3 linked regions of the Tamandua tetradactyla genome follow. The protein of the gene in region 3 interacts with the protein of the main gene of each other region in a pairwise test. Links are inferred from orthologs where the notes say so. Each region holds a gene or a part of one and is shown on either strand. Other genes may lie near its edges.

Region 1 (10,877 bases), on a different chromosome or scaffold from region 3:
TATGGTATGTATGAGTTTTTTCTTTTTTCTTTTCATTTCTTTTTCTGGAGTGATGCAAATGTTCTAAAAAATGATCATAGTGATCAGTATACTATGTGATGATACTGTGAGCCACTGATTGTACACCATGTATGGAATGTCTGTATGTTAAGAATGTTTGTGTTGCATGTTATTTATCAATAAAATATTAAAAAAAAAAACTTCCCTCAAAAATCAACCAATGGTCTGTGTTTTCTATTCCTTTAATGAGTTAATTAGGACCGTTGGGCCAGAGGTAACTTGCCATTTTCTGAAGCTGCCATTTATTAGCTGTGTAACTTTGGTCATATTATTTACCTAACCCCTTTGCACTCTCAGTTTCCTCATTTGTAAAATGGGGATAACAGTACCCACATCTCATAAGGTTGTTGGCTTATTAAAAAAATTAGTAAATTAATACTTGGAACAGTGTCTGGCACATTCTAAGTATGATTCAAGTACTGGCTATTATTACTGTTGTGATTATTAATTAACCTGTAAGGGTTCAGGTCCTGTTCCAGGGAAATATAACCCTAGTTAATACCTCTCTTCCACATCTTCACTAATACGGTTTTGCAAACGTCGCAGACGGGGGTCACTAGATGAATCTTCCTCCTGTTCCTCAGGCTCTGCTTCTTGTTCTTTGGCTTTCTTAATGAACTGAAATTCTTCATCCTCCTCATCTGAGGACTCCATAGGGGCATAGTCTGGCCGTTTTCCTGATACATAGCGTTTCACCTTCACTTTCTCCATGGAAATCTCCCCTGGATGAGAAAGATTATAATTAATGTTTCAGTAGCCTCTTTTCCAGTGTCCTTCGACTCTTGGCTTTTACAGATGGAGCTGTGTATTCCTTTTATACCAGAGTCTAAACAGAAGACTATCTATTCACTAACGGCGTTTTCCTACAAAGACCAAGTCCCAGGTAGGCATTCTGGTAAATACCAGCACTAATGATAATGAGGCCTACACCTTGGGTGCAATAAAGTGAAGGAATGTGGGCAGATAAACAATAAAAAATGAATCTCCCCAAACACACAGACAGTGCCTATCATAAATGCATGCTATTCCACCTCAAATATACTCTTAAGCGAATTATTTGTAAAAGTGCCTGACACATAGTAAGAGTAACTTTTCAAACATTCTTTTAGTTCTCTCAGGAATTTTCCATGGCAGCCTTTCTACTATATTACCATATAATTTTCTAAACTTATCTATTTTTACTTTCTTTTCCTTTTGCTCATGCACTATCAAACCAGCAAAAGCAGATAATCTCTCTTTTACAAATACAAACATAACCAATAATGAAGGAAAACTAACCACTCATAAGTATAACTTTAAAGAAAAAAAAAGGATAGTTCAAAGGAAAACATAAGGTGGATTTCATTTATGAACATAGATACAAAAAATACTAAAAAACATAAAGCAAATTTATTCCAGCAATATAAAAACAAACAAACAAAAACCTCAAGCCATCATGACAGATTAAGATTTAGCTCAGGACTACAGGGGATGGTTTAAACTTAGAAAAACAGAGGGTATTCTTATTTTGTTCCTATCACACCTTCTAGTCGACAGTGTATTATGATTCTAAGTTGGGCAAGAAGAAAAAGGAAGAGATAAATGGTGTAAGGACTAAAAAGAAAGAAACTGCCATAATTTACAACCATATGATTCTCTATGTAGAAAATACAAGATAGACAAGCCCAGAAAGTTCAAGCTCAGAGAGCTGAATAAAAGACCTACATATAAAAATGAATTTATCTGTACATTGGTTCATATAGTTAGAAAACGTAGTTTAAAAATATAATTTATAAAAGCAACTAATCTATAAAGAACCTAGGAATAAAACTCAAGAAATGAGATGCAAGGTTTTAGGAAGAATAATAAAAAATTTTACTGAGCGATATGAAAGATCTAATTAAATGTTTTATTGAGAAATACATCATGTTCATGAGAAGACGGTGACCATGCCTGAGTTAATCTATAAATTTACAATTTTTAATGTAGTTCCATTCCCCAGATTGATTTGAAAATCATATGGAAAGGGAGGCTAAGAGCCAAGACGGTTCTGAAGACAAATGAAAGGTCCTCTGTACCACATAATGTGGAGGTTCCCTGTACCAGAGCAAGGCTTATTTAAAGTTATAATATTTAAATAATATATTCAGATTATAAAGGTTTTCTAACATATAAGTGTTATATGCACAATTATTCAAATAGGCTCTAAGTTAAAGATCTTTCAGTTTAGTAGGGGATGTAAATATTTAAGATGTTTTTCATACTTTGGTCTTTAATTCATCTGGAATTTTGTTTGTATGTGGTATGAGTTAGGGATCTAATTTTACCTTTTACCATATGGTTAGCTAATTGTCCCCACTCCATTGACTGAATAGCCCATCCATTTCCCACTGATTTTTTTTTTTTTTTTTGGTATGGGCAGGCATCGGGAATGGAACCCGGGTCTTGGGCATGGCAGGTGAGAACTCTACCTACTGAGTTACCGTGGCCCACCTTCCAACTCTCCCATTTTATTTTCATTTCCCACTAATTTTTAATACTACTTCAATACAGCAAGTTCTCAGACGTGTCTTTTCTGTCCTTTCTGTTCTGCTGGTCTCTATGTACCCCTAACATCACATAAAGACAAAATTCAGATGAATTAAATACCCAAACATGAAAAAATCTAAAACATTTACATCCCCTACTAAACTGTAAGATCCTTAACTCATTTGTATCATTATACACACAACACTGAGATGTTAGAAAACGTTTAGAGACTGAATATCTATGATCTCATTGTAGGGAAAGATTTCTTAATATGCACAAAAAGCATAAACCATAAAAAATATATAATTACACTAAAACTAAAAATATTTCTGTAACAGAAGACTCCATAATTAAAGTTACAAGAAGAGCCAAAAAAAAAAAAAAGAGGGAAAAAGACATTACAGATTTGAAATGTATGAAAATAAAACCAAACAAAAAATGGGCAAATGAAAAAAACATGTAATTCACAGAAGATAAAACCCAGAGAGCTGAAAAATACACAAGCAAAATGCCCAGTCTCACCTGTAATCAGGGAAATGCAAATTAAAGTATTGTACTACCATTTCACAACTATTAAACATAAATTTAAAAATCTGATACAACTAAGTGTATGGATGACTACATGGGGAAATAAAAACTCTTTTTCCCTTGTAACCCATTTTGGAGATCAATTTAGCAATAGGTAGTAAAGTTGATGATGAACTCCAGGAGTCTACCCTAGAGAAATTCTCATTCACACATTTAAGAATGATGACTGTAGCACTGTTTGTAATTTGTAAGCTATAGTTTAGTTGTCATGTAATTCATAAGCAGTTAAAATTAATTAAATCTATGTGTACTGGAAGGATAATTCTCAAAAGTCATGTTATTTAAAAAGAAAGGCAAGCGGCACAGGGGTAGGTATAGTATACTTATAAAGCAAAAAAGAAAGAACTGATAATATTTTCCAACTTCCTTACTGAAAAAACTGGCTGTTCCACAGCACTTGGTTTATACCTATTGGACAGGAACCACAAGACTGTACACTGCTTAGAATGTGCCTCTTTTTGCATGTCTTACGTCTACTAGAATATGAGTTCTTGAAGGTTATAGGCACTGCCCCACACCACTTTATATTCAATTTAATAAGCACAGCCACTGCATTCGTTGAAAGGGATGTAAAGCTGAATAAGACATGGTTCCTGCCTCAAGGAGCTTATAAAATTATGATCTAGCAAAGGGGAAACAGGCGCATAAATATCTTTGATAAGTTATAATAACAACATTAACAAGCTACCATGTGGGATAAAAAAGGAACTGCAGGCATTCAGTATACATTAGTCTATGAATCGATGGAGGCCAAGGGAAGAGAGGTGCTTTACGTAAAAGCAGGCAGGCCATAAAAACAAGCTCAGATACAAGTGGTTTTGCCCCCCCTCCCCCCAATACTCCATCTCCCCAGACAATGCGATCAGGTGCGAGTTTAAGGTGGGAAGGTCGAAGAAACTGGAGGACGTGTCGGCAGGGTTGGGGTGGTCGGCTCGGGGGATGGGTTGGGAAGATGCTGGGGCAGAAACAGGTAAGATCCCACTGCAAAGAGGCTCAGCACAGTACCTTTCTCATTGCGAACTGGAACGGCTCCAGCCGTAGACTGAATGGGCGGTTGTTTCATGAGTGCGCTTGGGACCGACATGTTGATGGCAGCGGCGGTGACTCCCAGAACCTAACTGATTCTAAACAGTGAACACGACAACGTCAACCAACAAGAAAAAAACTTCCCCCTAGGTCCACCGGACGCGGGTGCAAGACTGAGGGAAACTCCACTTGCGTCTGGGCTAGACAAACCGGAAATATGTGACCAGAGGATTGTGGGATATTGGAGGACGCCTGGGCGCCTGTGCCTAGGAGGGCGAATCTGTTACTGCGCATGTTCATAGACTGACTTCGCGTCTTCAATATTGCAGGATTTGGAAGCCGCTTCTGGCGGGAAATTGCTTCCTTTAGGCTTTGCGACGAAGAAGGTCCGAATCAAAAGTTTCGCTTGTTATCTTGGTTTGAAGCCGAGGGTAATGGTGTAGTGATGAAGGAGAAATTGAGGAGATAGTGAGGGGTTGCTTGTCCTGATTGTTGAAATTTCAGAAGGATTAGAATTGGGTCCGGATAGTAATCCTGCTAATAATGGCATCTTAATTAGCTTAGTTAATGAGGCTGTGGTGGCCTGAGGTATGGTATTTAGGTCACACGCTAGCAGGTGGTGGTGGTTTTGGCCAGTTGCAAGGAAAAAAAAAAATCCCGAAGCGCCTAGGAAAATACCTGAAATTCCAGCACTCCATTTTAGGCTTTTCAGGTTCTTTCAGTTTCTGGAGGACGACTATTAGAATACTTTTTTTTTTTTTTTGCAGGAAAGTGTTTGTAGATTAACAGCCAATAAGTAATGATTGAATACTAACTGTGTTCACCAGGCTTAGCTGTTCGTAAGGAGTATGTAATATTAAAAGACTGGCATCCTTATGTTGCTTGGATTCTAATTTGAAAGTTTTCAAGGACATCTAGAATCATAATAGAAACCGCCCCAATTTACTAGCTACGTTGTATTAAAAAATGGCTAATTGGAAGTCAGAACACATTTTAGGGGACAAAGGAAATAATGTGGCGGGAAAGAGAAAAATTACAGGGTACCTGTGGGATACCATGAAGTTTGGGTTTATCTGCTAGTAACTTTTTAATATGAGAGTGGTGAAAGTTGTGTGAGTATCAGATCATGGAGAGACTTGAAAGATGCTTTAATATGATTAATTCTCAAATTATTTCATCTGTGTTCTAAAACTTAGCTTAGTCTGGAAGAAGAATTGAAATTGGGCAAAGGACATTGGGTGGCCAAAGTAACCAATCAAGGGAGCAATTTGGGGCTAGGATGAAAAGGGCCTTAAAGACAATTTTCTATTAATGGATTTATCAACTCAAAAAATTATGGTATCAAGAGGGAGTAAATCTGATGGGAAGGCAATTGTTTTGGCTCATAGTAACTCAAAATATAGAAAAAAGTTTTAATATGGATATGACTAGAAATACAGTGCACTAAAATCTTGTAATTTGTGTGTATATATATATATATGTGTGTGAGCATCCATTATTGCAGCACCATTTCTTGAATTTGGTTGGTTGGTTGGTTTTTTGTTTGTTTGTTTGCTTACTTGCTTGTTTGTTTTTGGGAAGTGCATGGGCCAGAATCAACCGGGTCTCTCGCATGGCATGCGAGAATTCTACCTTTGAACTACTCTTGCACCCCTGCAACTTATAGTTTGATACACAAATTATTTGATTTGTAACTCCTTCTTTCCAGCCTCTGGGCCATTTAAAGTCATCATTAGGGTCATGGTTAACCGGTAGGAAGATAGTCAAATATGAATTTTAAATCAGTTATCAGCCCTTGAAAAAAATCAAAATGCTTCCCTTCGTAGGGAGAAGATCCTGCAGTAGCAGTAGGTTAAGTTGGTGATGGGGTAATAAGGAGCCAGTGGGCCAAGGTATAGGCTGCATGTTGATTTTGTTGTACCTTCCCTACATTGCACACCCAATCTAGGTGCTTCTCAGTCTTTCCCAGGCTACATCTCCAAGGCAAATGAGCTACTTTTTCAAAGCGAGAACCCGGCAATACCAGAATTAAAATCACCGGCATTCAAGGTAAAACTGCCGATTAGGTCCCACCGCATCCTTAAAGCATTTTAATCTTAGGGTGAGGCAGGTAAACCTGCCTTCGTCAATGCTGATCACAGTCCTCCCCGCCCGGCCAGCTGACACCTGAGCCTGGAAGCGCCTGGGGGGGGGCGCGGGGCGGCTTCTCGCACCCGCCGGGCTCCGCCCCTCACGGCCAGGCCCCTCCCACCGCCGCCTCCCGCCGATCTGTTGGCGGGAAGGCGCCAGCTGCTGAGAGCCAAAACGTGTCCGAAACATGTCCGGGTCCTGCGCGGCGTCTGGGGAGGAGGTGGGCTCCAGGCAGCGACCCCAGGTAAGGGTGAGAATCGGGTTGACACCTTCTGGTGTTCTTCTCCTTCAGTATTCTTGAGGCAATCTTCCCGGCACAGGCCCGAAAGCACGGGTATATGGCCCAGGGTACTTCTGCGCTCTTAAATTATTCCCCGCCCTGGGTGCAGATTGCTGGGCTTTTTTGGGGGGTGTTGCTTCAAAAGATAAGCGAGATTCCCTGCTATGTTTTTTCTCTGTGGAAAACTAGGCCTTCAGTGTTGAGAAAAGTTCTTGTCAATAACCTCAGAGATAGCGGCACACATCGGATTAGGCACTCCTTTTCTCCTGCCCCCTGCGTTTGCATTTGTAGTTATTGTCAGCGTCACAGTAAACAATTCTAAAGTTTCAGAAGCTGACAGTTGGGATAGTCTTGTCAGTTAAAAATTGTAGTCCTAATTATTGCTCTGACAAACTCATATATGCAAGAAATGGGCTAGTATAATAATTACATTCAGTTAAATGAATTAGGTATCGATTTTGAAGGGGAAGAAAAGTTTTTCTTACAGCTTATCACTTTGGATTTATATTGTGATTAAGATATAGGAATTAGATTTATTTTTACAGATCTATTGGGGACCTTGTAAGAAAAAGCGTAAGACCTGAGTTTCTAATACTGTTTTTCCTTTACTGACCTGAATAGGTGAATGAATATAAAGAAAATGAAACCATCACTTCTGTATCTCTGAGACCAATTCAGTCTCCAGTTTTAGGAAAATCAGTTAAGTTTTGTCTTATCCCCTTTTCACTCTGTAATTACAAACTAGACCAATTTAAGTACTCTAAATCCCTATTAGAAAAGAATTCTAACAAGGAAGTAGTGCTGTGTAAGAAGACTGAAATAAAGAAAATTTGCAGAGGGATTTTAACTCCAAATATGGAAACCACTTCCGAGGCAGAATCCACTCTGCAAAAATCATCCTTAGATGTTCATACTGAAAATAACAAGTTACTGCCGAGCACTTCAGATGCAGTGTTTCTCAGTGTTGATGTGGAAAGCTGTCAGGATCGAGACAGTGATGGAGATACCACACCAGGCCTGGTAAGAATTTAATTAGTTGTTTGTTTTAATTTTTCTTATTGTTTTGAAATTTGAGGTTCTGAGAAGTTAAGGTTATCAAGGGTCTCTCTTGGCCAAACAAATTATTTTGTCATCTAATGGATTGAATTGAAATTTTATTATTTTAAAAATATTTAACCAGTTAGTTCCTTGGGTTAATTTTTCTCTTGGTTTTGATGTGTTGAAGAGAGATTGACTTTCAGTCTTCACTCTGCTTCCCTCTCAGGTTATTGCATATGGTTTTGGGTTTACACATTCAATTATAGCTTTTTTTTTTTGTCATGGGCACGCACTGGGAATTGAGCCCAGGTTTCTGGCATGGCAGGGGAGAACTCTTTCACTGAGCCACCATGGTCTGTCCTCAATTATGGCATTTTACTTATTTTACCTTTACATTACCCGTATATTAGAAGAAGTCAACTTGTGGGACATGTGACATTTGAGTGAGCCTTCATGGAAGGGTAGGAAAACCATCATTAATTGCATTGATGTATTCAGTAATAGTTCCTTTCAAATACAGAGACAGATGAAACACTTATCAGTTCTGTATAAAATAATAGCTTGAATCAGTTTATGGAACTAGGTATCTCATTCCTTTGGCTTCTACTACCTTTCTGGAGTGTTGTGCTCTGTTCAGTGACAAATTTTACTTAAGCCAAATTGAGACCATAGCACATGACAGCAGGTTGATGGAACTAGGGGAATAAAAAGTGATGGTAGAGAGAGGAAGGTATGATAATTGAAGCGTTGTTGTTATGAATTAGGAATTAGATTTATGCTTTATTGTCCCAGAGGTGAGAAAGGACCTATGGTGGGAGAGCACTGGGTGAGTCATACACGTGGACACTTGGAAGTTGGGATCTCTGCATTCAACTTCTAAGAGACTGTGTGCCTTTAGGCAAATTACCTTTACAATGAGAAGATTGGGTTAGATCGTAGTTGTCAAATTTTAACCTTTATCAGAGTTGCCTGGAGGGCTTGTCAAAACATGACTGCTGGGTCCCAACCCTAGAGTTTCTGATTTCAGAAGTTTTGTGGTAGGGAATAGAATTTGCACGTCCTAGAGACATTGATGCTGCTAGTCTGGAATTGCACTTTGATAACCACTGGATTAAATGATCTCTTTGGCAGATTTTAGTTTGATGTGAGGAATTAGAACATGAGGTGGTGTGTACAATATAGTCAAGCAGAGTCATAAATGCCCAGTATAAATTTTCTTAGGACAAACTGCAATATATAACATTTTTTATAGAATACTTCATTCTTTTGTTGTCTTTCCTTGTATTAAATGTCCTTTTGAAATAAAATGACTAAGGCTTTCTGACACCATGCTTTAGTTTATAAGGTCATCCTTTTCCAAGTGAAGAGAGGCTTTTGTCATATCATAGATAAGAGTCTTGGCCTGCAAGTCTAAGATTTTGTACTAATTTCTTGGAAATTTTCTAAATTTTATCTCCCACCCCTTCTATTAAATATTTTCATTTCACAAAGAATTTCTTAACAGTTACTTTTGAGATAATTCTATACTTAACAGAAGAGTCGCACAGTAGTACGGAGAGCGCCCATATACGTTCACCCTCCCTCCCGTTATGTTAATATCTTTTACAACAATCGAGCATTTATCAAACTAAGAAATTAACCTTAGTCCAATATTGTTTACTAAAATCAAACGAATTAGAATTTCACCAGTTTTTTCCACTAACTTTTTTCCTGTTCCAGTATCCAATCCAATCAAATGAATTAGAATTTCACAAGTTTTTTCCACTAACTTTTTTCCTGTTCCAGTATCCAATCCATGATCCCACAGGATATTTAATTGTCATGTCTCTGTATTCTCCTCCAATCTCTGACATTTTCCTCAGTCTTTTGTGACCTTGGCAGTTCCGTAGAGTACTGGAAAGTTATTTTGTATACCATTCTTAGTTTGGGTTTGTCTGATATTTTCTCATGATTAGATTGAGGTTTTACATTGTTGGGAAGGATACCACAACGGTTATGTCCCCTTCTCAGAACATCATATCAGTGTATGCATGATATTATTATGTATTATTGGTGATGTTGGCCTTAATCACTTGGCTAAGGTGATATCTGCAAGGATTATCCTATGTAAACATTTTTCCCTTTGTAATTACTGAATATTTTGAGGGAGATTCTTTGAGACTATGCAAATATTTTGTTTGTGGCATCAAATATGTATTTTTAAAAATTAAGATATAATGAACATAATAAAATTCGCCATTTAAAAGGTTATAATTTGATTGTTTTTCTTATATTCACAAAATTGTGCATCCATCAACAGTCTACCAACTTTACCAAATTCCACAACATTTCCATTACCCCCAAAAGAAGCCCTGTACCCATTAACAGTCACTTCCAATTTTCCCTTCCTTCAGCCCCTGGCAGCTACTAATCTACTTTCTGTCTCTATGGATTTGTCTATTCTGGACCTTTCATAAATGGAACCATACAATTGTGGCCTTTTGTGTCTGGCTGTTTCACTTAGCAGATGTTTCCAAGGCTCATCTGTGTTGTAGCATATATCAGAACTTCATTCCTTTTCATGGCTAAATAATATTCCATTGTGTGGATACACCATATTTTGTTTATTCATTCATCTGTTGATATATCCTTGGGTTGTTTCTACCTTTTGACTATTATGAATAATGCTGCTATGAACATTGGTATACAAGTATGTTTGATTCCTTGTTTTCAATTTTTTAAAGTATGTACCTTGAAGTGTAATTGCTGGGTCATGTGGCAATTCTTTGTTTAGTTTTCTGAGGAACCATCAAACTTTTCTACAGAGGCCATACCATTTTACATACCAACCAGCAATGATGAGGATTCCAATTTCTCCCACCTTTGTCAACACTTGTTATTGTTTATCTTTCTGTTCATGGCCATCCTGATGCGTGTGAAGTGATATCTCATTGTGGTTTTGATTTGGTTTTCCCTAACGATTAATGTTTTTTGTATTGTTTTCATGTGCTGGTTGGACATTTGTATATATTCTTTGGAGAAATTTCTATTCAAGACTTGGTCCATTTTAAAACTTTAGTTTTCTTTTTATTATTGAATTGTAAGAGTTCTTTTTCTATTCTGGATACTAGATCCTTTTCAGATGTATGATTTGAAAATATTTTCTCCCATCTATGGGTTGTTTTTTCACTTTTTTGCTAGTGTCCTTTGACACATAATAGTTTTTAATTTTGTTGGTCTGATTTATCTGTTTTTTTCCTTTTGTTGC
Region 2 (11,187 bases), on a different chromosome or scaffold from region 3:
TTATTTAAATGAAAGTATATAGAAAAAAGACTTTATTATTTGAATACCTCTTCTTCTTTGGGCTTCCTTGTGCTGCCTAATTTCATTCCTTAATGTAATGTTCTTTCTGGAAACTTTCATGATTGAGTATTTTGAGGTGTTCATTCTATGTTTGGAAACAGAAAATCTTCAAATTGCTTTTATATTTAACTGCATCTTTAGGCAAAAACAAATCTGAACAACCTTAATGTCTCATTGTAATGTACACTAAAGTTGAAGATTTATGCATTTTCCTCTCTCCTATAATATAACCTATGCATTATAGCCACAGAATTATGGTAAAGTTTAAGACTTTCAGGGGCAAATGTATTCCTTTAGCCAGAGGAGTGACATTACAAGACCCAAGAGGACTGGATGAGTGATGCCTATGAGTTAAATTTATAAGAAATATTGGCATGCCGTCTTTAGGTTTATTATTAAAAAAGAAAAACTAAGCTGTGATCAGGGTCCCCATATATCTTATATTATGTGTTTGCACCTGCTAGTCTCTCTTTGATTCCATAAAGCTTCTTGGCTGACAGAAGCATAACATTATTGCTGATAACACTGACTTATTGAAACAATATAAGAGTACCCTGAGGACTAGGTAAATTACTAAGGAAAAAAATAGCACTGTATTTAAACCTGGAACCCAAATATCATTTTCCGTGTCCACTGCAGCTGCCCTGCTGGCTCCCTCCTGCCAAATCTCATATATGCTGCTGCAGTTTTTCTTGGCCGTGCTTCTCCCTTTAGCATACTTCCTTAAACCTGACGAGCAACCCCCTTCAGGCAGCTCATTTGAGAAGAAAGCTCTTAGATGGATTAAAATGCCGGACACTTAGTTTGAATTGAGAGATACAGGTGCTTTCTTAAGTGTGCAGCTCCCCACTGTATAATAATTTCCCACTTCCTCACCACTCTGCAGCAGCAAGGAGTGAGACTAAGTGGCTAAAGGATGATAAACAATAAATAATCTCAGCATGTGTAAAGCAATTGTTTGAGCGATACCCAGACCTGGAAGAAGGAGAGCTGTGTGTCTGTTTTCCAGCCACAATGCACATTAGGCCAGACAGCATTTCCCACACCCCTCTTGCTGTCCAGTGTCTCAGCCCACCTGCTAGCCCCAACTGCCCCACATGACAACTGGATTCCCAAGAGTCCTTGCTGTAGCAGTTTCCTCTCCACCCACTTCTTTACACACTCCTTCCTTACTTCACTGCATTTCCAGATGATTCACTTATTAACCTCTAATAATTAAAGAATTCACATTGAGAGAGCAATGCTTTAGTACACTAATCCTCCCAAAAGTATACATATTTTATAAAAGGGTATCCCAGGCCATTATTGACAAAGGAAGCAGTGAATGGCAGAAAAAAGTACTGCACAGAGAGTTGGGAGTACTGAATTCTACAGTTGAACAAGGCACTAAACTTCCCTGGATATCGGTTTCTTATTAGAGAAAGAAGACAATTGGGCCAGTTTTCCAAGGGCAGGTGGTTCAGGCATATTTCAAGCTATCAGAAGGGATACTGGAACAGGAAGTCCTTACTGCAGACCTTTGTCAATGTAGTGTAACATTGGCACATGATATATTTCTGCCAGTGACACAGTTTTCTGGTTCTAAATTGTATATGCTCTGGTAGGTCAAATTTGTGACTTGACTGTGCTGTCTTCAAATAGCATATCTTTTGATCAGAACTGCAATAGGAGAAAGCAAGGCACCAAGGTGCCTGAGTATTGGCCCAGGGACGTTTTGCAAAAAGATTTCAGGTTGTCTGGCTATTAACAGGTTATATCCCAAGTTCATCCATTCTGCCAGAGACATTATCTCATCCTCATCAGCAGGTCTCGCCAGAAGCCAAAGTTATGTCTCATTAAAAGTCTCTCAAGCACTGAGATTCTGCTTTGTCACGGAAACCCATTTAGTTTATAGTTCTGCCTTGTCATTAGACAACCCTTTCATAATGACACAGGAAACAAAGAGGCTACGATTAAACAATTCAAGGCAAAAAGGAATGAAAAGAATGTCCACGTTTGTAACAGAGAAGGAAAGATGCAAATGTCTATATTAAAAAGGACCCTGATATATTGGTTGCAAAGGGCAATGCCTGATGCATATAAGGAGGAATAAATGAATGAATTAATGAGTCACCCTTTCTCTGCTGGGAGCAGGATGAAGGAGGCAATATAAAGTATTAGAAGACAAGCCAACAGGGAATCAAGGGGACTAGATCTGCATAGGAAAGGATTTAATAGACTTTTCTATAAAATTTTGGCTGCAGCAAGGGCAGGCCCTGGGGATAAATACTTCAGCAGATTGAGCTAGAAACCAGCATAATTTAGAAGAAAGGAAGTGGCCTATATATATATATATATCATAAACAAAATATATAAATATATTGCTTATGTGTAATATTTTCTATTAACTGGGCAGGTTTTCAGTGTGACAACCAAGTGGCAGTCAGAGAGACAGTCAACTAAATATCTCCACGTCCTTTCTTTGGGAAAAGTTTTTCGGGTTCCCTTTTCCCTGAGCTGGTACAGCCGTGCAATTAATGATCTGTGCTTTGCACAACAGCCTTTCTAAAAAGCCAAACTCCCCCTCTTATTGAAAGAATGGTCATTGCATAGTCCCCTCCTGGGTAGAGGGCTTTGCCGCTCCTACAGCGCCTCTACCGGCGAGATGGGTGAGAGGGTCGCGGAAAGGACCCAAGGGCGTCGCCCTCAGTTTGCAGGCTGAGAGTCCACGTCAAGACAATCGCGCTGTTCGGCGGAAAACTTTGTTTTACACGACCTCTTCCATCCTGTCCCCCCTCCCCCGGTGTTGTCAGCCTGAGTTGGCTATCCGAGCTTGCCTTCTTTCCTTCTCCCCCTGCCCAGGCTCTGGGGAAGATGCCGCTGCAGCGTTCTCAGAGTTCAATGCTACCCCAACTATTCCGGAGAAAGAAGCGGGGAAGAAAAAAATAAATGAGACCAGGAGGAAGGTCGGGAGAGCGAGCTCAGCGAGCACTGCGGAAGGGTGAAGGGCAATCCCGCGAACAGGAGGGGCAGCTGCACTTTCTGCCCCCTGAAACCTGGAAATGCGGGGTGCTGCAGGGTAAGGCAGGCCAGCAAGCGGTACCCTGAACCCGCACAACCCCAGGGGCGCTGTGCGAATCACCCGGGAAGCTGCACCTGGGCCGGCGGTGTGCCGGACCAGAGAGAAAAAGGGAATATCCCTTTGGTCAAAAGAGACTTAGGGTATGGGGACAATATCCCAAAACACCACACGCTGGGAGCTGAGGCTCGGGACAAGAGCCGCCTCTGCGGGGCAGGATGCGGAGCCGGGCGGGGCCTTCTCTCTCCGCTCCGGTTTCCTGCAGCCGGAGGACGCTGAGTCATTTCTTGCCGGAGCTGCGGCCCCCAGGCGGCTCAGCTATCTGCCGGGCCGCCTCGGCGCAGCGCCCCCTCCCTAGCGCGAGCGCCCCCCTTTCCTTCCCGCACAGGGTTGCTAAGAGTCCCAGCCAGGGTCCAGGGCCGCGCCTCTATACCAGCTGGCGCACTTGAGGGCGAACAGGAGCCCCCTGAAAATGCGCCCCACTTGTCTGGAGAAGGAACACGTAATATTCGTTGAATTCAAAAAGGAGCTCTGACTTCCTGCTCGGGAGCAATCCCTTGGTTTTAGAGTTGAATACACGGCGATGCAGAGGCACAAGATTTGTCAAGGCCCGGGTCTCCGAGAACCTGACCCTGTCCTTGCTGCTCTAGCTTTTGTCTTTTATCATCGAGGTACTGCCTGGGCTACTGTTCTCTTTCCCATCTAATTCCTCCTCTGCGTGGTTTGCCCAAAGCATAGTCCCTATTGTCTTTTTTTTTCTGGGATTTCTCAATCTCTGCCCGTTATCGGCTTTTTAGGGCTCCTAGTCCCTTTCCCTTTTCTCTTCTTTAGGCCACCCTTCTCCTTTCTGTTCTCACCCTACACCACGGTCCTCGGTCACTGCAGCAGGCGCCAGCGACTCCGTGAGAAACGTGTGCTGTTTGTGCAAAACGCCGCAGCAACCCGCCGGGAATGCTGCTGGTTGGCACCCAGCCCCCGCTTCTCCGCTTCACCTCCCCCCACCCAGGACACACGCAGCGGTCCCTTACTCAACCTCTTACCCATTAGCGGTTTAAGGAACCGTTCTTTTAAGGAACTTTGTGGCCTTTCTACTCTGGTTGGCAGCTTCCCACGGCAGAATGGAGGCGTGCGAGAGGGGGTGGAAAGGAGCCCTTCCTATAGGACCTTGTTCCCATAGGCCCTTACAGGCCCTCGTTCCTAAGGTCTGGCCCAGGCCTAAGGACTGGAGTGACTGACCTTCCTGAGGAGGGGTCTGGGTTAACACTTTCCCTTCTGAGATTCACAGGTGACGCTTGCTGATCTCTATCAGAAACTGCCCATCTTTGCGAGCTTAGCCGGATCCTTCAATGAAGGAGTTCTGCCTGATTTGAAAGAGAACGAAATTAGCAGAGCCACCGGCGCGTGAGAAAGGAATGCAGCCTGCGCAACCGCCAAAGACGCATATCCAGTCTCCCTGCCTAACTATTTCTCCATTTTCTCACTTCTAACTAATTGCTCCCATCGCCCGGGCTCCCAAGCCCTCGCACCGGTTTTCTCCCACCAGGAACAGAGTAGACGGAGGGAGATGGAATCATTTGTCCTCTCTTTAGGCGCCCCTCTAATGTTTAAAGCTCTTCTTTCTGTTCCAGGAAACTATTTATTTTTCTGCTTTTCTTTTCAAATTTTCACAACTAACTTTGGATTTTTCCCAAGGGTTTTTGCACACATCCCAGACAGGTTGAATTATTTACTTTGTAACTGTAGCAGTAAAGAATAATCTATTAGCTGAGGTTGCCTTATCTTTGTTCTTGAGAAATTAGTAGGTCTTCTTCCAAAATACATGAAGATTTTACGCTATAGGAAAATCACTTGCCTCTGCCAGCCACAAAAGATAAAATTAAATTGAGGGTGTACTCACATCTTCAGGACATTTATTACCGTAATCACATAAGCAATGAACATTTAACCACCTTCCCTGTTCTCACACACACACTTAACTCTTATAGTCCTGACAGAATAGGAATGTTTTTCCTGAGTTTTATAGAAGTCTGGTTTGAAGCTTATTCCAAGGCTTCAGAAAAGAGTTATGGGCAAGGAGGGTAAAGAGACGAAGTCTGTTTGGAATTATTTATAATTCTCAGAGTTCCAGGATTGTGGAATAAAAATGTTTTAGATGGACACAGCTGGAAATGAGTATAAGGCAGTGATTGAAAGCACAGACTCTAAATCTTGCAGTCTGGGACAGATTCCATGTTTCTACTATTTACCATCTGCTAGAAATTATGTAACCTCCCCAAACTGTATTGATTTAATCTGTAAAATGGGGCATAACAAGAGTAGATACCTCCCAAGTTGCTGAGGAGATTAATTTTTATGTTTGCAATCTTTAGCACAGGGCAGACAGAAGTTACTTATTGTTAGTTCTTATAAATGTTATTAAAGTTAATAGAAGGATGAGCAAAAATTTTGTTTCTTAGACTAGCCCTCCTACTATCTCATTCTTGGTTTGCCCTTGTAAATGCAGACAGGCTAATTTCAGTCTGGGGAAACTGCACTCTTTTCCCATCCCCAACATTTTTATGCCAAGTAAAATAAGTTTAAATCAAGGACAGATTTAAAATGCTAAGTAAATCAGCAAGTATGCAGTCTTATAAATTGTGCATATGAGTAAGGGGAAGGAACAGTTCTTCCCTTTTCGGTAAGATGGTCTGGTGTGTGGAAAAGAGTTCTGAAGCCAAACAACCAATCTGATTTCTGGACTTCACCACTGCCCAGGCATGTGAGCAGGAGCAAGTTATTTTGTCTCTCAAAGCCTGGTGATAGTAATACCCATTCCTTAAGGTTGCAGTGAGAAATGATACTATATGTGTAAAAATGCATCACAGATTACCTGGCACATCATCCTTGTCCCTCTGTAAATGGAGGTTGGCTTTCCCTTTCTTTTCTTTTTCATGATGAGAATTAATTGTATTGTTGATTATTTTGTACTTGAACCTGCAACCGACTACTCTTTTTACAAAGATGGAAATGTGAACTAATATTAATGTAACATGATTATTCTTGTGAAGTGTAATTTTAAAAATTCACAGTCATGAAGGGTATATACATTGTACTGAGTCATCCTAGGGAACAAAAGGCAGTGGGTAGAGCTAGTTATTAAAGTCTGAAAGGGCTCTGTGTCATTGCATTCAGGAGGTGTTACTGCATTTGTTTTGCTGTGAACTACAGATGTCCCTAGGAGAGAAAATAGAAAATTACTGGCAGATTCCTTAGACAACTGACCTCTCTGAAAAAGAGAGGACACATCCATCTGGGAGTTGAAGGAAAAATGAAAAGTTAAGCCACAGACTCTGGAAGGTATCACTTGTTAAGAGGGTGATGAGGATTTAAAAAGAACTGGAGAGATTTATGCTTCTATTCATGATGGAGTAACTGGTACCAGACTAGTCCTTCTACTGTAAACAACATAAAACTAGGTGAAAATATTTAAAGGAACTGATTATAAGCAGTGGACAACAAGCAGCCCAAGATTGTTACTCCTGAAGGAGAAAAATACAAGATAAAACCAACAACCATCCAATGCTCTACTAGCGGACAATTTTCCAGCCATATCACAGAGCACTGAAGGCCAAGCATGGCTTGGCAGTTAAGCTGAAGAGACAGAGAACAGTTCTGGGCAACTTAAACAGTTGGAATCTGCAGGGCAAGGCATCAGCAAAGAGGGAGCTATGCAGAGAAGACAGGTCAAAAGTCTATATGGGAGTTCCTCGAGGACAAGGCCATGACTGAGGACTGGACTGGAAATGAGCAAGAGGAGATCATCTGGGACTTACCATATAACGGCTACTGTGGTTTTAAAAATTAACAGATAACTTGGAATGCTGGGGGAATGGCAGTGTCCAGAGGCTTTGGACCTTGACCACAAAAGAATAAAGGTCTTAACAACATTTAATTAATGCGCCTGGAATACAGCTGAGAAACCAGAAAGACCTTGTTTTAGGTGAAAGAACTGTGCTCTAGAGCAGGAATATTTTTGGCTTTATAGGCCATATGGCCTCTATTTTAACTCTTCAATCCTGTCATTGTAACACAAAAGCTGCTATGCACTATATGGAAATGAATGGGCTTGGCTATGTTCCAGTAAAACTTTATTTTCAAAAGTAGGAATTTTCTACTTGGAGTATCCACAGATCCTATTAACAAAGTATTAAAATAAGCCTACACAGGGCAGGCCATGGTGGCTCAGCAGGCGGAGTTCTCGCCTGCCAGGCTGGAGACCCGGGTTCAATTCCCATGCCCATGCAAAAAACAAAAACAAAAAAATAAGCCTACGCAAGTTCAAGGTGATCAGCTGGTAACTGAACTACTTGCTAAAACAAGAATTAACACTCTTCAGAGGAAGGTAACCAAATTCAGAACCTCTACAACATTATTCCAAATGTATAATATTTAATCAAAAGTCACTAAACAAACAAAGAAGCTGGAAAATGCGATCCATGGCCAATGACAAAAGCAGTCAATAGTAACCAACCCAAGGTGGTTCAGATGTTGAATTTAGCAAATGAAGATTTTAAAATCAGTTATGATAAAAAATGTTCATGGAATTGAACAAAAATATGTTGAAAGAATTAAAGGATAAACATAGTCTTAATGAATGAAGAGATAGGGAATCTCAGGAGAGAAATAAAAATTGTATCTAAATCAAAACTCTATGACTGAAAATTACCAAAACTGAGATGAAAAGGTCACTGATAAGCTTAATATCTTATTGGTCTAAGCAGGAAAAAAAATCAGTGAACTTGTCAGATTAACAGAAATTATGCAATCTGAAGAAAAAAGAGAAGAAAAATGAAAGAAAAGTGAACAGAGACTTCAAAAACCTGTGAGGCAGTAACAGTTTGATATGCATGTATTTGTTGCTTCAGAAAGAGAGACAAGAGTAGGATTGGGGCAGAAAAAAACTATTTGAAGAAATAATGATAAAATTTCCCCTGATTTAGGAACAATATTGACTTAGCCAAGAAACTTGGCAAATCCTAAACAAGATAAATATAAAGAGAAGCAGATGTAGATATATCATAGTCAAGCTGTTAAAAATCAAAGATGAGAAAGACTTGCAGCAGCCAGAGAAAAAAACACATTTCCTACACTGAAACAAGGATAAGTGTGATCACTGATTTCTCATCAGAAACAGGAGCTTGAAAACAATGGAAAGACACCTTTAAATGATGAAAAAGTTTTTAAATGTTAAGTCATAATTCTATAACCAATGAAAATGTTCTTGAAAAAAAAGAGGTGAAAGAAATAATTGTCTGCAAATGAAATCTAAATTTGTAGCTAGTAGACCTGCAGTATAAAAATTGGTAAAGAGGAGACTTCCAGGAAGATGGCAGACTAGAGTAGCTTAAGATCAGCCCTGCTCCATGGAAAACTTAGAGAAGTCACATTTCCCAGCTCTGAGAATGTGCTGACCTGCACTACTGGATCACATCTGCCCCCAACCAACAAAGGCATAACACCAACCTGCTGTCACAACTCTACACATGCGCAGAAAGGGCTCTGTGCCTTAAACCAACACACACCAGGGTTACGTCCCCCAGATGAGTGCACCTGCACAGCCACATCCTCCCTGGCCACTGGGCACCCACATTCACAAGCATCAGCATCACATCCCCAACCTGAACCTACACTTGCTCTGAAACAAATTACCACACTCTTGTGCCCCGCCCCATACCCTGCTCCCTGTTGCATATCTATCCCACGAATACAAGCTTTAGACTACTGAAAGAAATCAACTTCCAAAGTAAATCGGTCAAGATCAGTGCAACAAAACAACAGAAGATTACTAAGCATATCACACTGCAGACAGATATAGCCCTGCCTAATGACCAAATTAAAACACCACAGGAGACACAGACATTGGAACAACTAATCAAAGATATTCATACATTTCTACTTAATGAAATAAGTGGGATAACAAATGACATAAAGGAGATCAAGAAGATAGTAGAAGAGCATAAAGAGAAATTTGAAAGAACAATAATGGATAGAAAAATAATGGATATCACAGAGATTAAAGACTCTGTTGACCAAATAAAAAACATACTAGAGGCACACAACACCAAATTTGAAGAGACAGAAAAAAAATAACCGATATAGAGGACAGCATAACTGACTTCGAAGACACAAAACAGCAAATAGCAAAAAAGATGGAAAATTTTTACTTGGATCTCAGGAAAATTATAGACAAAACAAAGCACACAAATATAAGAATCATTGGTGTCCCAGAAGGAGAAGAGAGGAGTAAAGGGCTAGGAAAAGCAGTTGAGGATTTAATAGGGGAAAACTTCCCAACCCTTATAAAGGACATAAACATACAAGTCAAAGAAGCCCAGTGAGCTTCAAGCAGAATAAATCCAAATAGACTTTCCCCAAGGCACATACTAATCACTCTGTCAAATGTTGAAAAGAAGCAGAAAATTCTGAAACTGGCAAGAGTAAAACAATCTGCTACATATAAAGGAAACCACGTAAGACTGACTTCAGACTACTCAACTAGCACCCTGGAGGTGAGAAGGCAGTGGTATGATATTTTTAAGATCCTGAAAGAGAAAGATTTCCAACCAAGAATTCTGTACCCAGCCAAACTGTCCTTCAAAACTGATGGAGAGATTAATGTTTTCACAGAAAAACAAGTCCTGAAAGAATTTGTCAATAAGAGACTGGCCCTACATGAAATACTAAAAGAGTTCTCCTGGCTGAAAAAAAGCAAGACAGGAGAGGGAGTTCTGGAGGAGGCCACAGAATTGAAGAGTACAAGTAAGGGTAATTTAAAGGATAAAAAGAAAGAGAGAAGAGATTATATAGATCTAACAAATAAAATTAAAAAGTTAAGATGGTGGATTCAAGAAATACCTTTTCAGTAATAACTTTGAATGTTAATGGACTAAACCAGCCAATTAAAAGATACAGATTGGCAGAATGGATTAAGAAACATAATCAAGCTATATGCTGTTTAATATATAAGAGACTCATCTTAGACACAAGGATACAAATAGATTGAAAGTGAAAGGATGTAAAAAGATTTTCCATGCAAGTTGTAATCAGAAGAAAGCTAGAGCAGCTGTACTAACATTGGACAAAATAGACTTAAATAGATACATCATAAGAGAGCAAGAAAGATACTATATACTGATTAAAATATTAATTTATAAAGTATCCACTAAGATATAACAGTCATAAATGTTTATGCTCCCAATCAAGGAACTCCAAAGCACATGAGACAGATATTGGCAAAACTGAAGGGAGTGATAGATGTTTCAACAATAATAGTAGGAGACTTCAATACACCACTCTCCTCTGCAGATAGAACAGCCAGATAGAAGATCAATGAGAAAATAGAGAAGTTAAATAACTTGATAAATGAATTAGACCTAACAGACATGTAGAGGTCATTGCACCCCAAAACACAAGGATATACATTCTTCTTTAGTGCTCATGGAACATTCTCCAGGGTAGATCATATGCTGAGGCATAAAATAGGTCTTTATAAATTTAAAAACATTGAAATTATTCAAAGCACTTTCTCTGATAACAATGGATGAAGCTGGATCTCAATAGCCACCAAAGAACGAGAACATTCACAAATATATGTAGATTAAATTACACACTCTTAAACAACTAGTGGGTCAAAGAAGAAATTGCTAGAGAATAGCTATCTGGAGATGAATGAAAATGAGAATACAACTTACCAGAACATATGAGATGTGGCAAAGGCTGTGCTGAGAGGGAAATTTATTGCCCTACATGCGTACACCAAAAAATAAGAAATGATGGGATACAGTGGCTTCTTGGCAGAGTTCTCACCTGCCATGCTGGAGACCCAGGTTCAATTCCTGGTGCCTGCCCATGAAAAAGCAAACAAACAAACAAAAAATAAAAACACAAGAAAGAGCAAAAATTGAGGACTTAACAGTACACATGGAGAAACTTGAGAAAGAACAGCAAACTAACCCCAAAGCAAATAGAAGAAGAGAATAACAAAGATTAAAGCAGAGATAAATGATGGGAGAGCAAAAGAATAATAGAAA
Region 3 (10,694 bases):
GGCAGCCCCGGCAGGCACCTAACCCGGAGCGCATGGCACCCCAACCCCGCCGGACCAGGCTCCCCAGCCGCCTCCGTCCACTCCTCGCACCATCCACTGACCAGCCCAAGCGGGATCAAGTGTCAGAGCCGCCAAGGGCTCGCAGCACTCCACCTACCTTGTTTACAGCTGCGGGCAGAAGCCCCAGCGCCACCGCGAGCCCCGCAGTTGGGGACGTGAGAGCGCCTACAGGCTGGGCCCCTGGCCCGTCAGAGAACGCGCCTGTGTGCGGGGCTTCCCCCTCTGCCCCACAGGCTGCGTTCAAGATTAACTCGGGTTCCGAGACCTCTCTTCCCAGGCAGGGGCGCGGGGCAGGCGCGCCCGGAGAGCCTGACGCTCGGCCTCCACGCCCGGGCTCTCGGCTGCGGGCTAGCACCCTGTAATTACCTGACAGCTCTGGCTGAGTTTAGGAACCGGCCAGAAACCTCAGTCTCATCCCTGGTATCTGGAGGAAGGAAAGGAAATAAAAAGGCATTTTAAAAATGCGGACTCACCAGTTCTCAACCTCCCTGGGCCGGTGTGTGGGAAAGGGCGGGCGGCTGGGCTGGCGGGGGCGGGGCGAGCCATCCTTGGCGCGGGCTCCCGGGCCCCGCCCACTCGCCACAGGCCCCGCAGCGAGGGCGTGGCTCCCAGGTTCCACGTCCTGCGGGACGGGACCATGGCCCGCGGCTCAGCGGGCTCCTTCGGGCGCCGGGGGCCCTGCGGAGAGAAGAAAGTAGGGAAGGGCATGACTACCGCTGGCCGGCATCCCGGAGTGCAGGCTGGCACCCTGGAAGGACCACCTGTTAGCCAGAGCCGCTGCCCAAACGCCAATGTTCCCCAAGGACCCGAGGCGCAAGGATGAAACAGGGGCTGTCTCCATTTCCGGGGTGTTAAATTGAGTAGGGGGTTAAGGAGTTGGTCACCTGATGGTGGAAATGCCCAGTCTGAGTCCTTCTATTGAAGACACAGGGGTCACATGAAGGAAGGAAGAGTTGACAGCATCTCTGTTAATCTAATCCTTTTCCCCCAAGATACCTTATTTTCTGATTGTATTTAGGAGAGTGCTGAACCCCTGAAACTTCAAGCTTCTCTGTCCCAGGCCTGTCAACCAACCCAGCTACTACTCTGCATATTAAAATTTCACTGAGCAAAGCCTCAGAAAGGGCACTGGCTGTCATGGCCAGTGACATTTCCATCTGTCCCATTACTCAGTTAGGTTTGTGTATATTAAATTCTCATAAAAGTCTGCTCATTCATTCATGTATTCAGCTAGCCTTCACCCTGTGCACACAACGTGGCAAGTACAGGTTTGAGATACAAGGATTCATTCAGTTTTCATTTGATAATTATTTATTGAGTCACTTCTATGTGCCAGGCACTTGCCAGAGGTCCTCTTTGATCTGGAGAGACAAGGACTGAAAGCTTATGGTCAGGAGGGAAAGAAACACTCCAGTGAACCTTCATAATCCGAACAGGATACAGGTGAGGCTAGAGGTAGGTAACAGGTATTGTGGGAAAATGAGCCTTGGGAGAAGCACTGGTTGGAGAAAGAAAGCCCATAGGTCCCTCATGAACTGAGTAAATGATTGGAATAGAGTTCAAGCCTTTACTGCACAGTCTTTATTGAGCACCTAGTATATGCCAGGCAGACTATAAGGCATTTAAAGTTACCAAGCTACAAACCCAGACTTGGACAAATGGTGATGCCATTTACAGAAGAGAAATCAGCTTGGAGATGGAGACAAGGAGTTTGCTTTTGGTTTTAAAATTGAGTTTAAGGTGCCCAAAACTTCCTAGTGGAGCTACCACACCTCCCTGACTACGGCTCTGGCCCCCTGAGGACAGGGTCTACCACACATCCATCTTTGGAGCTTGAGCCACGTTCACACCAAGCACTCTGTGATGGCTTTTATGGCGAGTGCCCTGAAACGAATGCACACAAACATCAGATTGAAGCTCAGAAGAGAAATCAAGGGCTGAGACTGAGACTGAGGCTGGGAGGCAAAAGATGGCCCCTGGTGCCATGGCAAGGGAGAGGCAGGTGGGAGACAACAGAGCTCAATCCCAGGGTGGGAAGGGAATAAAACTAAAAGAAGGAAGGTCAGAGAGGTGGCAGGAGTGCCAGCCAAGTGCAGAGTTCTCAGAACTGACGGGAGAGAGAGCCAGAAGGCAAGGATGGTGAGTTCCCAGTGAACGATGTCACAGAGGCACCAAGCTGGAAAGAAACTGAAACAGGCAGAATACCCGAGGGTCCTTTAAGAGAGCGTGTCAGTGGGGCAGAGCAGAGGGCAGACTCGGGAAGGCTTAAGCAGTGGGGTGGGGGCTAGAGGAAGAAGCCACTTCCTTCTCTTTAGGGAAGTTTGGCTAGGATGGGAAGGAGAGAGTGAAGAGAGTAGATGTGGTGTCCAGAATAGGGCAGAGTTAGCATTTGGGTAGAGAGAAGGGGCAGGAATGATCAAAGCACTGAGAGGGAAAGATGTGTGAGAGCCTTGAACCAAGCTGGGAGGCACACAGACTTGGTATCTGATGTTGAGCCTTGGAGGAAGGCCAGGCTCCTCTTCCTCCCTTGACTGAGAAAGGCAACTAAGAGGAGGCAGCTCCTGGGTGCAATCTTACTGGCAGGGGGCAGGAATGTGGGCCAAAGGGTGGATGGAGGCCAATCCAAATATTTGGGCTGGCTCCACTGTAGAAATCGAGATAGACAAGTGTGGTGTGCAAAAAACCAAGGACAGCCACCAACGTCCTCTGCCCAGGCTGCATGGCACAGAGCTGAGTACACCCCGCAGGCCAGCTGCACAACGGGCAAGAAGGGAGAGTGGTGGCTGCACCTGCAGGTGGAGCTGCGGGAATGGAGAGGCAGCACAGGGCACTGACCCTCAACTCCATGGTTGGGGGAGAGACTTTAAAGGAGCTCAGCTAGGTCTGAGGGGCAGCAACACAGGAGACGATATTTCTGTGGCTTTCAAGGAAGGATGTTGGGGAGGCAGCCAGGAAGAAAGAGGAAGGGTGTGTACAAGAGCCCAAAGAGGAAAAAGCAGCTAAATTTAGCAGCCAGAGGTGCGTGAAGGAACAAGATTATCAAGGAATAGCAAATAAACCCCAGGTTCTCGGTCCAGAAAGACCTGCCCCCCTCCCCACACTTGCACGGTGTTTGATCCCCAGCCTGGCATCCCAAGGCCGCTACGAACCTAGGGTTCATGGGGTGGGAGTGGGGGGTACCTCAGGGAGGAGTAGTTCTGACCAGAAGCTGGTTCAGGACCTGGCTCTGCCAATTACTAGATGATGAGACCTTGGGTTACTTGGCTCTCTGTGCCTCATTCTCTCCATCTGTAAAATGGGGAGGACTCCACCTGATAGGGTTGGGGACAAGGTCAGCTAATGCATATATCAAGTATTCAGAACAATACTGGCGCTTACCAAGAGCTCACATGTTTTATTTGACTATGTACTCCTTCCAGTGGTGGGTGAGTGCCCAGGGGCCGGCTGGAGAGAGGGGTAGCTGTCTCTCCCGGTTTAGGACAAGGCAATAGAGCTACAGCTCTGTCCCCACCCCCACTCTTACTCCCCCAAAGACCAGGGACATTTCTGTAATTGGGGAACAGATTTGACAACTGTTTGGGCACTGTTGCTGGGGAGCGATGAAGGCCCCTGGCGGAGCAGGCAAAGGTCAGGGAGGTTGTATAGGGGTCAAGACCTCAGATGCACACACACAATTCCACATCCTGGATTTTCCAGGGAAACCTGAATTTCCAATCCTTTACTCCCAAGTGCCCATAAGAACAGCAGAACTCATCACCCTGCATCCCTAATGACCACACTGCAAATACAGGGCTCCATTCTGAGGCTGCATTCCTGGTGAATGACTCTCCCCTGGCCAAGGAGATGGCTATTTTATCAAGGGCATAGGGTTCCACTGGGTCAAGGATGGGTGCTCACCCAGCCTCAGGCAGAAGGAAAGCTGGGGAATTGGAGGCCCCAACCTCCAACCTAGAAACAGATGTGTTGGGGCAGGGGGAAGAAGCCCTTGAAAACTTAAAGGCAGTATCCTCTTTAAAATCCAATCTCCCAGGACCAGGCCCTGCTCTGCGCCTGAGTTCTGCTCTAACTGGCAGTGGGGGGTGAAAGGAGTGGCTTTTGGGCTCGTCCTTCCTGCTGGGATCCCCGGTCTGCGGCTGGCAACGGTCCAAGTCCCGACTGCCCAGGAGGTCACCTGCCCAAGCCCTGCCTAACGGGAGCTGGCCCACCCCGCACCCGGCCCCGCTACGGGGAGAGCCAGCTGCCCGGAGGCGGTGGGTGGGTCCGAAACTGCAGCTTTCAAGGGACCCCGGCGGTGGGAGGACCCGGCACTGACACCCGACTCCCGGGTAGGGTCGCGGTTCCCCAGGGCTGATGTGACTGGAACGGGGGTTCGGAGCTATTCTGACGCCAGGGGACGTGCCGCCCCCATGCCCAGTTCGGGGCAAGGTGGTCGCGCTCGGGCTGAACGGCGGGGGAGGGCACAGAGCTGGGTCTCCCGGGCCGGGCCCTCCCCGCGTCCCCGCAGCTGAACCCGGCACGGGGGTCCCGCGGACAGGGCCGGCCCGCACGCGGATCCCCGAGCGGCACCAGACCGCCTCAGCCCGGCCCCAGCCGGGACCCAGCACGCCGACGCCCCCGACTCACCCGCCTGGCGAAGGCAGGATTCGGTCGTCGTAGCCGCAGCGCCCGGGGCTCGGCCCGGCCCGGCCCGCCGACAGAGGCAGCTCCAGGCCGCCGCCTCCTGGGCCCGCCCCTGCTCCCGCCCCGCCCGCTCACTTTCCACAGGAAATGATTAGCTCCGGCCGCGGCGCGTTCCCATGGCAACCGGCTCCGACCCCCCCCACACCGCCACGGGTTAGCGGCGCGCGCACACTCACCGGCACGCGCCGGCGAAGGCGCACCCTCGCACACTCACACGAATTCACACGCAGGGCCGCCCCCCTGCACCCTCACGTGCTTCGACCAGACCTGCCCACTTGGGTCTCTCCCGCCTTACTGCCCCTTGCACACGCTAGTGCTCACTTGCGTGCTCACCCTCTGGTGGATACACCCCATCACACGTGTTCACACTGTTACACCCAGGCTCTCACACACTATAGCACACATGCATTCCCACCCCGGCTCTCACACTCTGGTTAGCACACACAAAAGCTTACACACATGCTCACATTTTTTCTCACACATGTTCTTGCACTCAGTACACTTTTTCTTATACTCTATCCACACTCCTTCACATGTTCTCACACTCATTTAGTAGACACACAAGAACACATTCACATGTTCTCATAGATTCACACACTAGTTAATACCACATGCTTTCACATCTTCTTACTGGTATTCCACATGCTTTCACATATTCTTACACTTGGGTACACACATTTTCAAACCCTAATAGAAAACTTTTACACACTCTGGTTGATTGCCACACATGCACTTTCACGTGTGCTTACATGCTGTCCCTCTTGTGCTCTCTTCATAGTCCAATACACACATTCACACTTACCCCACTCCCACATGTTCTCACATTATCATACACATGGATTCACACTGTAGCACACGTGCACACTTTCCAGTGCTCTCGCATGCTTCACACACATGCTCATACACTCAATTTAGTACATGCATCTGCTTTTGCATACTCACATGTGTACACACGTGTTCTCTCCAAGCTCTAGTACATGGCTTTTCATACTCTAATACACACATTCTTTTAAACCTAGGGCAAACTTTTGCATGCATTCTCACACACCCTGGTTAGTTCACTCACATGCACTTCTATTAGTACTTACACATGCTTTTGCACAGTGCTCACTCTAATGAATGTGTCCACTCACATTCTGGTGCACACGCATGGGCTTCACATGTCCTCACACACACTTTCACCTAATAGTGTCACTCACCCTAGAACACTCAGGACAGGCTGCCTCCCCAGCCGTGGCACCCTCCCTCCCCAGCAGATTTACGTCTTCCAGAGCAGGGAAGCTGTTTGGGTTGTTTGTTTGCTTTTTAAAGTGAAATATTCCTCAAAGCCTCATGTTCAGCAAGCAGCAGCCCAGGGAACGGACAGGGGCTCCAGCCTAGCCCTGTGGGTGAGCCGTTCTTATGGGGTGGATGGGGAGACCAGGGGGCCATCCAGTCAGGAAAGGCAGCTGACCTGAGGAGCCACTCTGTTCTTTGTCTCCTGAACAGAGGCAGCATTTTATTCCAGAGCAGCGGCAATATTCTCTCTCCAGGATGCGGAAGGAGAGGGATAAAAGCAACTCTGAAGCCAGCTGGTTGCGGGCTGATGGCTCTGCAGATAATCTGAGGAGGGTGGACAGAAGGTGGTCCAGAGAGAGTCAGGACAGGGCCAGAGAGGGTGCGTGGCGCAGGTGGGCTCCGTCTCCTGCTGCTGCTGGGGTGCTGGGCTGGCAGTCAAGAATCTGGAGCAGAGATGGAGCCGAGAGCCTGGGCTTCAGGACCCCCAGCTGCTGGGCCTCGCCACACCCAGGCCCTCCACGGAAAATCAATGTTTGATTTTCTAACCAAGACGTCCGAGGGAAAGTCCAACACATAGTAAAGGTCACGCTCCTGGAATCATTCCCTGGGGAGTTGGAGATTTCCAGCTAAGAACCCCAAGAGCTTTCCGAGTGGATTGAGGGCCTTATTTGGAGTTCGCACCTATGATTCCCCCTGCCTGCCCTGCGGACAACCGTGGTCAGGGGACTACAAGGTTGGACGAGGATGAGGCACCTCTAGATTTCTGACCGAGTGTCTTCGTTTATTATAGTCCCTCTGATTTGGCTGTGGGGAGGGAAGCTGTCTTTAAAGTCCTGGTATAAAACTGCAGACCTCGAGGGCTGGTGCACTGACATCAACTGCAGGTTCCTTCCAACAAAGCCGAAGCCAGGTTTTTAATTCATAATAACATTTCTTGTTCCCTTTCCCTGATTACAAAAGTAATAGATGTTCATTGTAGCCATAATCCCACCCACTAGAGACAAATGCTGCCAACATTTTAGTGAAGTCTTTTTTTTTTTCTATGCACATAATAGCTGCCATTTATGTAGAGCTAATGCTGGGCCAGGCCTGGCACTGAGCTCTTATAAGCAAGCTCCCCTTTAACCCTGAACACCCGAGGAGGTGGGCACCACCACCTGCCCACTTTAAAGGAGAAGAAACTGAGTCTTGGAGACATCAATTCACTAATTTAGTGATAGAACTGAGATAGGAATCCAATAGGCCTATGTGTACGCACATATATTACTGCCACATGTGTATAGATTTAAGGGTTTATTGAAATCGAAGCAACAGGGAAAGGAATAGAAAACGGAGACCTTAGGAGGAAGCATTTTCTGAATTCTCACTAACACATCGCTGGCTTGAAATATAAGAACTAATTGTTTCGTAACTATGGGATTTTTTTTTTTTTAAGAATGCACAGCATCAGCAGGGACTACACGCCGACTCCAAGGTCATTTCTACCCCCCCCTCCCCCGGAACTTCACAGATGGGCAGGCTGCGGGCTCTCACCTGACCACTGGGGAAGCTGAGGATTTCACAGACAGCTGAAAATCCCTAGGGTAGGCGCCTGAGCCCGTGAATGAGGCCTGCCCTGGGGCCTGGCCCTCCCTGCTGGGGCATGGCCGGGGTATGGCCGTCCCAGGGAGGTCCAGACAAAAAGGCAGTGGCGAGAGCACTGCAAATCCACGCCTTCCGGTTGGGCCGCACCACCTTCGTGTTCAAAAGTCTTGAAAGCCCTTAACATCCTTCAGAGAGGCAGTCAAGGGCCAAGAGTACAGAGGGAAACCAAGAGGGGGCACGAAAAGCCAGTTTGAGGCTGATCTGATTTTGATAGTCACCCAAGGGCAAAGCACAGATAAGATGTATTTGATTTTCCAGTTTTAAGCATCTAACTTGACATTCTAGCACCTCTAGGCCTTTGCAAATGCTGGTCTCCCTGCCCGGAAGGCCTCTCTGTCCGTCACCCCACCCTCAACTGCCTCCACCACACCTCGGCTGGTTCCTGCTTGACCTTCAAAAGTCCTTCAAGATCAGAGGCCGCCTTCCTTGCCCTTCCCCAGCATGGTCAGGTGGGCTCCTCTGGGCTCATGCCCCACCCCCACCCCGGCGACACTCCACACACTGGATTGTCACGCCACTCAGTCCACCAGCCCCGTGAGGGCACAGCCCTTTCCTGACTTGATCACCGGGAAAGTGGGCAGTGCCTGGTGGGCGTATAGGTTTTTGTAGACTAAAGAAATAGAGCATGTAGAATTCAGAGGGAAAGCACAAAGGTGAATTCAATTGATCAGAACAGACTTTTTTCCCATGTAAACTGATGGCAGTTCTTATCAACAGGAATGATAAGGCTCTGGAAAGCAAATAAACTCGATGTGGGCAGTAAAGAGCGCCCTCCGGCAGTTCTAAGCACATACCCTTTCTCTTATCTAAATCTGCACCCTCTTCTCTGTTCTAATCCCTTCTCTGTTCTAAACCTGCACTTTTTCTCTCTTCTAACCCCTCCTCTCTTCTAGGCATGCACTCTTTCTCTCTTCTGGGTAGTAGCCATTTTATTTTATTTTTTTAATTTATTTTATTTATTAAACATACCAACATACAAACATTCTTACCACATGATCATTCCATTCTACATATATAATCAGTAATTCACATCATATAGTTGTATATTCATCATCATAATCATTTCTTAGAACGTTTGCATCAATTCAGAAAAAAAGTAAGAAAACAGAAAAAAATTCGTGCATACCATACCCCTTACCCCTCCCTTTCATTGATCACTAGCATTTCAATCTACTAAATTTATTTTAACATGTTTCCCCTATTATTTACTTATTTTTAATCCAAATGTTTTACTCATCTATCCATAAGGTAGATAAAAGAAGCATCAGTCACAAGGTTTTCACAACCACACAGTCACATTGCGAAAGCCAGCAGACATTTTCTTGAAGTTCAAGAACAACCTTCTGGGGTTGACTTGCGTATTATTAAGTAATCCTGACTCAGCTGCTGTTTTTCATTCAAGTCTTCCAAAACCCCTGAAACAGTTGTCATGAGCATTACAGAAAGAACTGGAAGGGTTGCGGGGAGGTGAAGAGTGTGGTTCTGTGCCGATAACTGCAAGTGTGGGTTTGAGTCCCAGGTCCACCCCTCACCAGTCACGGGACTTGGGCACATGGCTTAACCTCCGAGCTTCTCCTGCCCCCTGAAATGGGGACAGATCTCCCTCCAGGAGCACAGCGGGGAGGATGCAATGGGCTGAGACAAATAAAGGGCGTGTTAGGGGCCTGGGGCAGGGCTCACCAGTGCTAGCCTTCAGGAGGCCACACCCCTCAGGGGGCAGGAAGGTGTGGGGGCGGGGTGTCCTCTCGGAGGGCCCTGGGTGGGGGAGGGGGGGTGTCCTCTATGAGGGCCCTGGGCTAGACTGTGAATTTCTCCTGCAGGCAATAGGTGCTCAAAGACATTTTAACAATGGTACCTTTCTCTCCTCTCCTCTCCTCTTTCTGTTCCAGCCTTCGTGTTATTAGCTGGAGAAGGAAACAGTTCTCCCATTTCCAGGGCACCCTGTGGGGAATTGAGGCATCTCTCTCCCCAGTAAAACTATCTCACTTAAAAATATCTAGATCGTGGCCTCCTTTCTGCATCTACCAGGAAGGCTGGACTCAGCAGTGCTTCCTGGACTCCCCTAAAACCCCTTAATGACGAGAGGGAGAATTTGCAGAGATTCCCTCCCTCCTGGCATTCCAAGTTTAAAAGCAAATGAGACTTTTTTACTTCTCTATAATTTCCCGTATTCTAAAAAATGAGAGGAATGAAAACGCTGAGCAGATACGTACTCAAGCTCCAGGTAATAAAAAGGTTTAGCAAGAATGGCTATGGGAGAAGCTCACCCAGGAGCTAACCCTGCCCCCTCTCCTCCCCTCCTCCCCTCTGACTCACCGTCCCACAGACCTTCCCGAAGCCGCCTCTGCACCCTTCTCACCCGGAGCTCGACTTCTCATTTCTCAGTTGTTCCATCTCCTTTGTTCTATGCCAAGACATGCTCTCTTCCTGTCCTTCCCACTTTGCTTCCACGTCCCCATCCATTGCTCCCCATCTGCTGTGAATTCTAGGTGGCTTATGCTTTTAACTTGATTGCTTTTTTCTTGCACAAATGTCATAGAAACCAAATCCCACCACCCTTAACTCATACTCACTGATCCAGACTTTCATTCGAGTTCTTTACCTTGAGCAGACATAATTTCTACATGGAGGGAAAACTATCGGAAGCCATGGTTTAAAGTGGGGGACTGGCCAGACCTGGCACCGTGGGATCAACAATTCCATCCTGACCAAAAGGGGGGAAAGAAGTGTAACTAATAAAGTATCAGTGGCAGAGAGAGTTCAAATAGAGTTGAGAATCTACTCTGGAGGTGGCTCTTTTGCAAGCTTTAGTCAAACCTTGCTACCTATTATAACATGCCAACCCCCAACCAGGACCATTCCAGCCAATCCTAAAGAACACCTAAGGCAATATATAAGGTTCCACAAGGGTTCCATGCACTAGAGTAACTTTCCGGAAACCTGCAACCTCCCGATGGGTTTCTGGTCCAGATAAATTCTGAAACCTAGCTCAACCTCTCCAGAACATCAGCTAGTTCTCTCTCCCTACCCTA

What was found.
Region 1: the proteins of KIFC3 (region 3) and MFAP1 interact in binary tests that used the Homo sapiens proteins (3 or more experiments, as listed by UniProt). The two-hybrid records come from large-scale screens. The link is inferred for Tamandua tetradactyla from reciprocal best matches to the Homo sapiens genes KIFC3 and MFAP1.
Region 2: the proteins of KIFC3 (region 3) and NEFL interact in binary tests that used the Homo sapiens proteins (3 or more experiments, as listed by UniProt). The two-hybrid records come from large-scale screens. The link is inferred for Tamandua tetradactyla from reciprocal best matches to the Homo sapiens genes KIFC3 and NEFL.

Annotation. Positions count from the first base shown.
Region 1 is NC_135340.1:58,062,793-58,073,669, forward strand, and holds the start of MFAP1 (microfibrillar-associated protein 1), read right to left. Parts: upstream 4,403-10,877; 5' UTR 4,241-4,402; coding exon 4,162-4,240; intron 783-4,161; coding exon 563-782; intron 1-562. Other genes in the region: WDR76 (WD repeat-containing protein 76), read left to right, coding at 6,500-6,556, 7,214-7,612. UniProt on the Homo sapiens protein: Involved in pre-mRNA splicing as a component of the spliceosome.
Region 2 is NC_135329.1:25,881,445-25,892,631, forward strand, and holds the start of NEFL (neurofilament light polypeptide), read right to left. Parts: upstream 4,403-11,187; 5' UTR 4,355-4,402; intron 1-4,354. UniProt on the Homo sapiens protein: Neurofilaments usually contain three intermediate filament proteins: NEFL, NEFM, and NEFH which are involved in the maintenance of neuronal caliber.
Region 3 is NC_135342.1:51,503,581-51,514,274, forward strand, and holds the start of KIFC3 (kinesin-like protein KIFC3), read right to left. Parts: upstream 4,747-10,694; 5' UTR 4,684-4,746; intron 739-4,683; 5' UTR 700-738; coding exon 534-699; intron 485-533; exon of another isoform or gene 427-484; intron 1-426. UniProt on the Homo sapiens protein: Minus-end microtubule-dependent motor protein. Involved in apically targeted transport. Required for zonula adherens maintenance.